2 linked regions of the Mytilus edulis genome follow. The protein of the gene in region 1 purifies or fractionates together with the protein of each later gene. This does not show direct contact. Links are inferred from orthologs where the notes say so. Each region holds a gene or a part of one and is shown on either strand. Other genes may lie near its edges.

Region 1 (3,937 bases):
AGTGGCCAGTTATCTTTATAATGCTGAGAATGAATACAAGTACTAGTTAATCAAATTGGCAATTAATCTGTGGTATTTCATGTAAAAAATTAGATTGATAAGGCAAACCGTACAAAAAAAAAGCTTTTGCATGTATCATAGACACCTTTCCTTGGTAAATATTTTCGTGTCAATGTTATGTACAGAAATCTCTCCAGCAATAAAATGAATATCGTAAGGGTCAAACCTGTTTAAATACAAGATAAACTTATATTTTTTGACAAAATTGCAAAGCAAGTCACACATCATTATCAAAGAACCTAATTTACACAGGAAGTGCATGTAACACTTCATTGTGAGGTCAAATTAACCTGGTCCCACTCTCTTATCATCTGCTTGATCACTGGTAGATGCCTAGTGTGAAAGATGACAAAGCCACATTTTAATGTAATTGTCAGTGGGTTGAAATGTGAAAAAAATAATTATGGTAATGCTTACTATAAAAAGTATACAACTGTTATAAAAAGATGAGTATTATTGGGCAGTATTGACACGAAAATGAAATAAATTTTCTTACCTTCTATATTTTTCAAACTTCAGTTGATTGATAAAAATCATGAAATCCAAATTTTACCCATTGTTGACACCTTTCAAAATTTGCCATGCTGGACCAATAACTTGTTTCCAAAGCTAATCAGCTAATGAAAAGGTGCATGTAACATTTGTTGACGGGAAAAGTTACATGCACTTGTCCATTTTCAAACGTATTTTATTTGCAGCAATAATCGGATTCTGTACAAAATGGGGTTTCTAAATGATAGACAGATCATTTTGCAGTTGATTTTCAACTATGATAGTAGAACAATTCTTCAGGCATATTCTAAATATGACTAGGGGTTTTGCCACTGCAGAAATGTCACACTTTTTGTCTACAGTTTTCAACTACCAGCACATAACAAGTGCTGATTTTTTGTTGATTTTTTTAATTGGATCCATTTTTTTTGCATTTGGCAATAAAGACTAACGCACTTTGATATTTAAACAATGTTAAAGCTCCATATTTGCATGATTTCTTTATTTTTTAATTGGATAAACACTATTGACCCTAAAATTTCACTAGCGAATTCCTGCCCATATATGAAGAAAAACAGGAACAAATTGTTAAATCAAGGTTATAATGAACCAAATCAGTTGGAACGATTTGACCAAATCTTTGACAAATTGGCTTGGAACAAATTGGCTTGATTGAAACAACTTGGCTTGGAACAAATTGACAAGCATTCTTCCCGGAGAATACAATGTTTTCAACAGGTTGGGGACAACCCATCAAATTGGGGACTGTTCCCCAAATGAGTAACAATCCCTCATTTGAGTAATCATTTGGTAGTGCTAAAAAACAAAATTTTCTTATCTGAGTTGTTTTTCTTAAAATGGCACATATTCATGAAAAATGTAGCAAATTTTCCAAAAAATGATTATCCCTAACTTGATTTACTGAGAAGATACAAGCCTATGAAAAATTAGAAAATTTGACTATTTTCAAGGCTACTAACTTTTTTAAAACCCCTAATAAAAATATAGTTCTTTGCTAGAAGTTGTTCCAATTTCTATAAATTTGTGCCATTTTACATAAAAAGACAAATTTTTAGAAAATTTAGTTTTTTAATAGCACAATAGTTATGAAATGATTACTCAAATGAGGGATTGTTACTCGTTTAGGGAATAGTTCCACATTTGGCAGGTTGTCCCCAACCTGTTCAATGCAAGTTAAAACCCCCTGTCTTCCAGCTTTACTTCAAACTTATGAGGGCCCTCATGGGGTTTTTGATTATGTGATTACTTGGCCGTTTTTTTAATGATTATTTGATTATTAAGCCAAATATTTCACGATTATTTGATTACCTAGGGCTGTATTTTTAGTTTATGATTATTTGATTACTAAAGATAAGCAAATATTTAATGATTATGTGATTATATTGGCAAAAAAATGGTGATTATGTGATTACTAGGACCCCCCCATGAGGGGCCTCACTTATCATGTTTATGGATTACAAAATAATTAATGGATGAAACAACCTGTTCAAGGATTCAACACACAGGCACTTGTTTCTATCCATAGGAAGGTCGACTATCCATATACTTCTATCTATATGGATAGTCGACCTTCCTATGGATAGAAACAAGTGCCTGTGATTCAACAATAACAGTAGGTCTAACAGACAGTAATAAATTATCTGATTACGGGTAATTTGCCGGCATATTGCGGTTTTCTCATCTAGTTACACTCACTTAATCGTCGTGTTGATTAACAATTATACGCTTTGCTATGAACAGAACACTCATATTATATTGTACGCTTCATTTATGTAGTTTCTTTCTCTATTTTGGCGATAATTTAGTTTAAGTCTCAAATCTTTGCCAAATCATAATAATGCCGCTTACGAATGTAATAATAGGTTATTCACAACAACATTATTTTATGAGTTTGTGCTTCGAAGATTTTTTTGAGATATTTTGTCTGTATTATTTTAGGTATTTGCACACTTATATTGCAGATTTTTCTCTTTTTTTTTAATTTTAAATTTTCACATATAGCATTGAAAAATAGCACGGGCAATAACTCAGTTCGTGATTTTTTTCAACTTCCAGGCAAGGACCGAAGCTCATAAACTCGGCAACCTTGCTTCGGAAGTTGGATTTTTTTTGTATGTTCTGTATGAGTCTTCATTCACAAGGAGCACCACTATTTCAGATCAGAGGTGGAAATAAAAAAAAGTTGCTTTCATTAAAAAAAGAAAAAAAAAAAAGAAAGAAAAGCAATACGTGAACCTAAGACCGCTGACTGCTGGGTCACCAAAGGAGGGACCCAGGAAACACATGACGTCCTTGCGACGTTATGTATTGGTCGCTGGAAGGTCATGACTGACGTTACGAAAGTACGACGTTGTTGCAACGTTGTGAGAATGTAATTTTACGTCACGTCAGATACGACGTAGAACCGACGTCAGGACAACGTTATTATTGTTTTTGATAACGTTTATATTACGTTGTTGCAATGTCATATTGCGACGCATCTGTCACGTATCTGTGACGTTATAGCAACGTCGTCATATTTTTGGTCGATAAAATATTAAGTTGATTTTACGCTATTATAAAAGAGGAACCATGTTTTGTCATCAATAATACATCGTAATAATAATAAAAAAATAATAAAAAAATAATTGCAATATGTACTGTTCATCGATCAAATATATCACGTAATTAAAACGTTGTAGCAACGTAATTGTCGACATCCCTAAAATTTACATAGCAAAATTTCTTCTTTTATTATGTACTAGATTTAATTTGTCTTGTTTTTATTGGTAGAACTAATGAACAATATTTGATATGAGGCAGGCATTACCTGTGAAAGGGGACGAAGTCTGTACGAATTTATTCATGTTAAAAAAAAGATACGGAAATACCGTAACGTTTCCGATTTTGGTTCCGTTGTTAGGGCTTTTAGTTTTGACGCTTTTTAAGTGATGACGTCATATTCAAAGTAAACGCCATTCACCAAGCCACTGCACTAAGATCCAACGTAAGTAAATTTATCTGTATTCTTTAACTGTTGTTTTTTTTCTTTTTACTTTTTATAAAGTTTCTATTATAAAGGAACAGAATGATGTTCCCGTAAAGTTTTGTTGACGTCATAAAACAAAACATCTGACGCCACAATGGAAAAGTGATTGTCAAAAGTTAGAGAGGCCGGTATATGTCAAAATACAGGATTTGGTGTTTCAAGCATGATTTTTGTGCTCCAAGCATTATCACTGAGGGGGGGCAAGGGGTTTAACTGTTATGCTGTTATGGGGCAATTTAATTCTTTGTTATCTGTTATTTTGAAAATATATTTGCTGTTAGCTGTTATTGTCTTATTCTTTGTTAGCTGTTATTGGGCTTTTAGTTTTTTTGTTAT
Region 2 (3,937 bases), on another chromosome or scaffold:
GTTCGCTACCTACATATTCGCGCCCAATCTTAATTTGTTTTGTGTTTATTAACTTTGTAATCAAGTTTTGGCAAGTGTATTCTTATAAGTATATCTGTTGTCATTGTCTTAAAATAAAGTGAGACAGCATTTTTTTTTGTATTGAATAAATCTTAATCAGGTTTTGGATAGTGTATTGTTAAAAAAATTAAAAAAATCCTTTCTAAATAAAGTGGGATTCTATCATGTTTTGGTTATAAAAGTGTATAGCTATATTTTATTGTTTAATTGTTTCAGATCAAAGGGACCAAGCTGTTAAAAACAATTATCTTTTGTGTTTTTCTTTTAAAATCTTCAATGTTTTACCCATACCAAGCTATGTATATACATTTAGTATTTACACCAAAGCAATTTAAAACAACAATCATGATTTTCCAATTATTCAACTTGAATTTAAATTAAAATTAGGCGCGAACGGAACTTGGGTGCGAACGTGGAAGGTGCAAACGTGTAAGGTGTGAAAGTGTATTGGGCGCGAATGGACCTGATAGTGATACATTGTACCTGAAATCACAGACGTCAAGCTGTCTTACTTGCTGGCACACAAAATGCAACCTTGAAAATTGGCAGAACAACTAAGAACGGATTGACATGGCGATTTGTTGCCAAAGGAGGCTTTTCCAAGAAGATTGCTGAAGATCTGTACACATAACACAACTGAACTGCAGTTTGGATGTCAACTGAAATGATTTATTATTTATAAAAGTGTTTTAGAAATTATTCATACTTGTCACATATAGTCGGCCTCTTGTGTTGAACATTAAAAGCTGAGGTAGGATGAAGACTAACACCGGGTAATGATGTCTTAATTAATTGCCTAGTTGCATTACTAAGTGTTCTGAAGTTTATAAATGTCAATGACATTTTTCATTTCTTTTTTCGTCAATGTCAAACAAACGCTTACCTATATTTACGTTCTCTTAATCACTCTCGCGATTTAGATGACACGAGATTTTACACCACATGTTCTGAAAGTCAAGATACCGGCTAATAAAAGAAAATCTGACCATGGATCCTAAAAAAATGGGAGAAGCTCTTGGCCGCATGAAAGGCGGTGGAGGCAAATTTGCAGGAGCTGGTTTAGGCCTCTTAGCAGCCGCTGGGGGCTTATTTGGAATTGCAAATTCATTTTACACTGGTTAGAAATGTTACATCAGAAAAGGGTCACCTTATAATAATTTCAGTTATGTAAACAAATAAAAATTGTCTCTCTATTTTACACTGCGATAATGTCACATTTAACTACTATTGTCAAAATGATAGAAACATCATAGACAACGACAACTAGTTGGCAAACTGGCATAGTTGTCAACGAACTCAAACTTTTATCTTCCACATGCACATGCAATACACTTAAGGTTCAAGTGGACCCTATGCCATGGCTAAAATGGCTGTATTGTCACCTCAAAATTTACTCTGAGTACAGACAAACCTGCGTATCTGTAAAAAAATTCAGGCATAGCATGCCCGATATAAAAATGGCTACAGAGCTCCAGATAAGAATTCACAAATTGGGGTTTTTACCCACCATTTTTTTATGTAATTGGGTGATGGTATCGGGATCGTTCGCCCTGATTACATGTTTTCCCTAGGTTCGTTCGCACTGAGTTTGTTCGCCCTGGGTTCGTTCGCCCTATTTTCATTTATGATCATCAATATGTATATGTTACATTAATGAAAGAAATATATATTTATAATAATTTGAAATCTTTGATATCACTGAGTGATTGGTATATGAATTGTCTTTGATGGATTAATAATGAAAATAACATTTTTCTCAAATAGAATAGTCAGCTTTGATGGGATAAAACACTGATGTACAAATTGTTAAGCATGAAAAGGAAATTATTTTCACAGCTTGGCTTCTTTGATCTCAAGTATGTTTTTACAAATTTGTTATATATGGAAGTGGATTATGGAACCGGTGCACATACAGATACTAACTTAGTTCTCAATACCTTGAAGTCACAATATCTTGTAGTCCTAAAATTTACAGGAACTTATAACCTAGTACAGTTGGAAGGCAAACGCCTGAATCTGACAGATAGAGGTCAATTTGTCGACAAAAAAAGAACCCGTATGTAAAATGTTTACGCCCACAAACAGCGCCACCTATAATTTTTTCTACGGCATCTTTGAGAACGATGTCCCATTCTGTAGTAAATTAAAACATTAAATTAAATAAAACATAGAAAAGTAAGTGTAAAACACAAATTGAAAGATATATTTGCAGATGACTGTTTATGCATGATACGCTGGCAATGTGCGCAATGTCCTTTAATCCAAGACTGAAAATTAGTTTGTTTCCTACGTCAAGATGGCGGATTTCAATGTTTACATTTTTTCACCTATTTATAATCTGACAGAAATTGGTATCCAATCATTTATTAGCAATTTTATTATTGATCTTTGAAGATCATCCAATCGCATTTGCCGTTAGAAAGTGGCTACACGTTACCAGCCGTCGTTACAAAGTAGCCATGTGTTTTGTGGGGATACCTTGGGAATGTTATGTATTCAAAAGTTACGGTAAAAATCAATGTTATCTTCCTTATATTTCCATGCATACACAATTTATAACAGCAAATACATTCTTAACAGACCCCATAAGGTAAACGGACATATTTAACTGTCTGCTTGAGCAAAAATTCGTGTAAATAAGCCTGATGGGTCGTTTTGAATTCAAGCACAGCAGACAAACACGTGGTAGATTGTTTATGTTTGACAGTTTGTTTACTTGAATTGCACGTTGATGTTACTATATACTTACCAATAACATTTATCGTGTTATACTTTCAATAGTTATATAATAAATCTTACCCAAGAAATACGTCTAGGTACATGTAGGTGCAGGGACTTCTTTTACTTGGTCCTTAACTAATGAGGGTGTAATGATACATTACAGCATTTTTTGCATTTGATATATTTCATGGACATGTACATTTTGTGTACACAAAGAACAATAAAGTAAATGAACATACATGGGTTTAATTCCCACCCTAGATATACATTTTGACTCTCATGACAGGTTGGAACAAATAGAGCAGATAGCAATTGACAATAATGTATTAATGCTAAAATGCTGATTGATGGGGTCAAATCATCAACATAATTTTTTCTAGTATACAACAGCTCCTCTAAGGATTAGTAAGGGTACTTTACTAAAAGTCCAGTGGCTAAGTCCTGTCTTTTTTGCCTCTGATATTTACTAATTTATATTATAATTTCTAATATTCTCTTGTGCATGTAGGAAGGCAAAAGCTATTGTTACTCTTATTTTCCTCATTTGCCTTAAAACAATGGAATGTATTGATTGTTGATGTATGTCAAGTGACTTGTAATTTAACTGTCACTGCTAACAGAGACTGGGACTCTGGTGATAAGTTTCCAGGCTGTTATGTCATTGGCAACTATACCATAAATGTCAGTTTCCCCTTTATAAGTTTTTAAGAAAAGAATTTAATGATAATATAATAATAAGTTGTAAAAAAATTGAAAAGTTAAGCACAAGTGACAAATCTAATTGGCTTTTTATTCAAGAAAACCTAGAGGCATTGAAAAGTGTTGCAATTTAAAATAAATGTTTTGAACTCAGAAAGTTATCAATATATATATAGAGAGTACAGATAATGTTTTAATTGGGCCTTTGGGAATATTTGCCTGTTAATTGAAGATATAATTATTATATGCCTTTTCAAATATATGTGTGGCTCTGACCTGGCTGTGGTTTAAAATCTAAGAATGGAGTTGGTTATCTCCATATTTATCTAATTTATATCAACATCATTGATCCATTATATATACATATATATAAATCATTGTAATACATGTACATTACTTTGCTTTTCATATGCCCTTTAATTGGAATAAAATATCTTGCCTTATACCTCATTTCTTT

Evidence for each region.
Region 2: the proteins of brefeldin A-inhibited guanine nucleotide-exchange protein 3-like (region 1) and prohibitin-2-like purify together in Homo sapiens (affinity purification with western blotting; 4 studies listed by BioGRID). This does not show direct contact. The link is inferred for Mytilus edulis from reciprocal best matches to the Homo sapiens genes ARFGEF3 and PHB2.

Annotation. Positions count from the first base shown.
Region 1 is NC_092353.1:63,908,772-63,912,708, reverse strand, and holds the start of brefeldin A-inhibited guanine nucleotide-exchange protein 3-like, read right to left. Parts: upstream 2,432-3,937; 5' UTR 2,269-2,431; intron 1-2,268. UniProt on the Homo sapiens protein: Participates in the regulation of systemic glucose homeostasis, where it negatively regulates insulin granule biogenesis in pancreatic islet beta cells. Also regulates glucagon granule production in pancreatic alpha cells.
Region 2 is NC_092356.1:14,001,012-14,004,948, reverse strand, and holds the start of prohibitin-2-like, read left to right. Parts: upstream 1-972; 5' UTR 973-1,047; coding exon 1,048-1,177; intron 1,178-3,937. Other genes in the region: large ribosomal subunit protein uL29m-like, read right to left, coding at 767-903.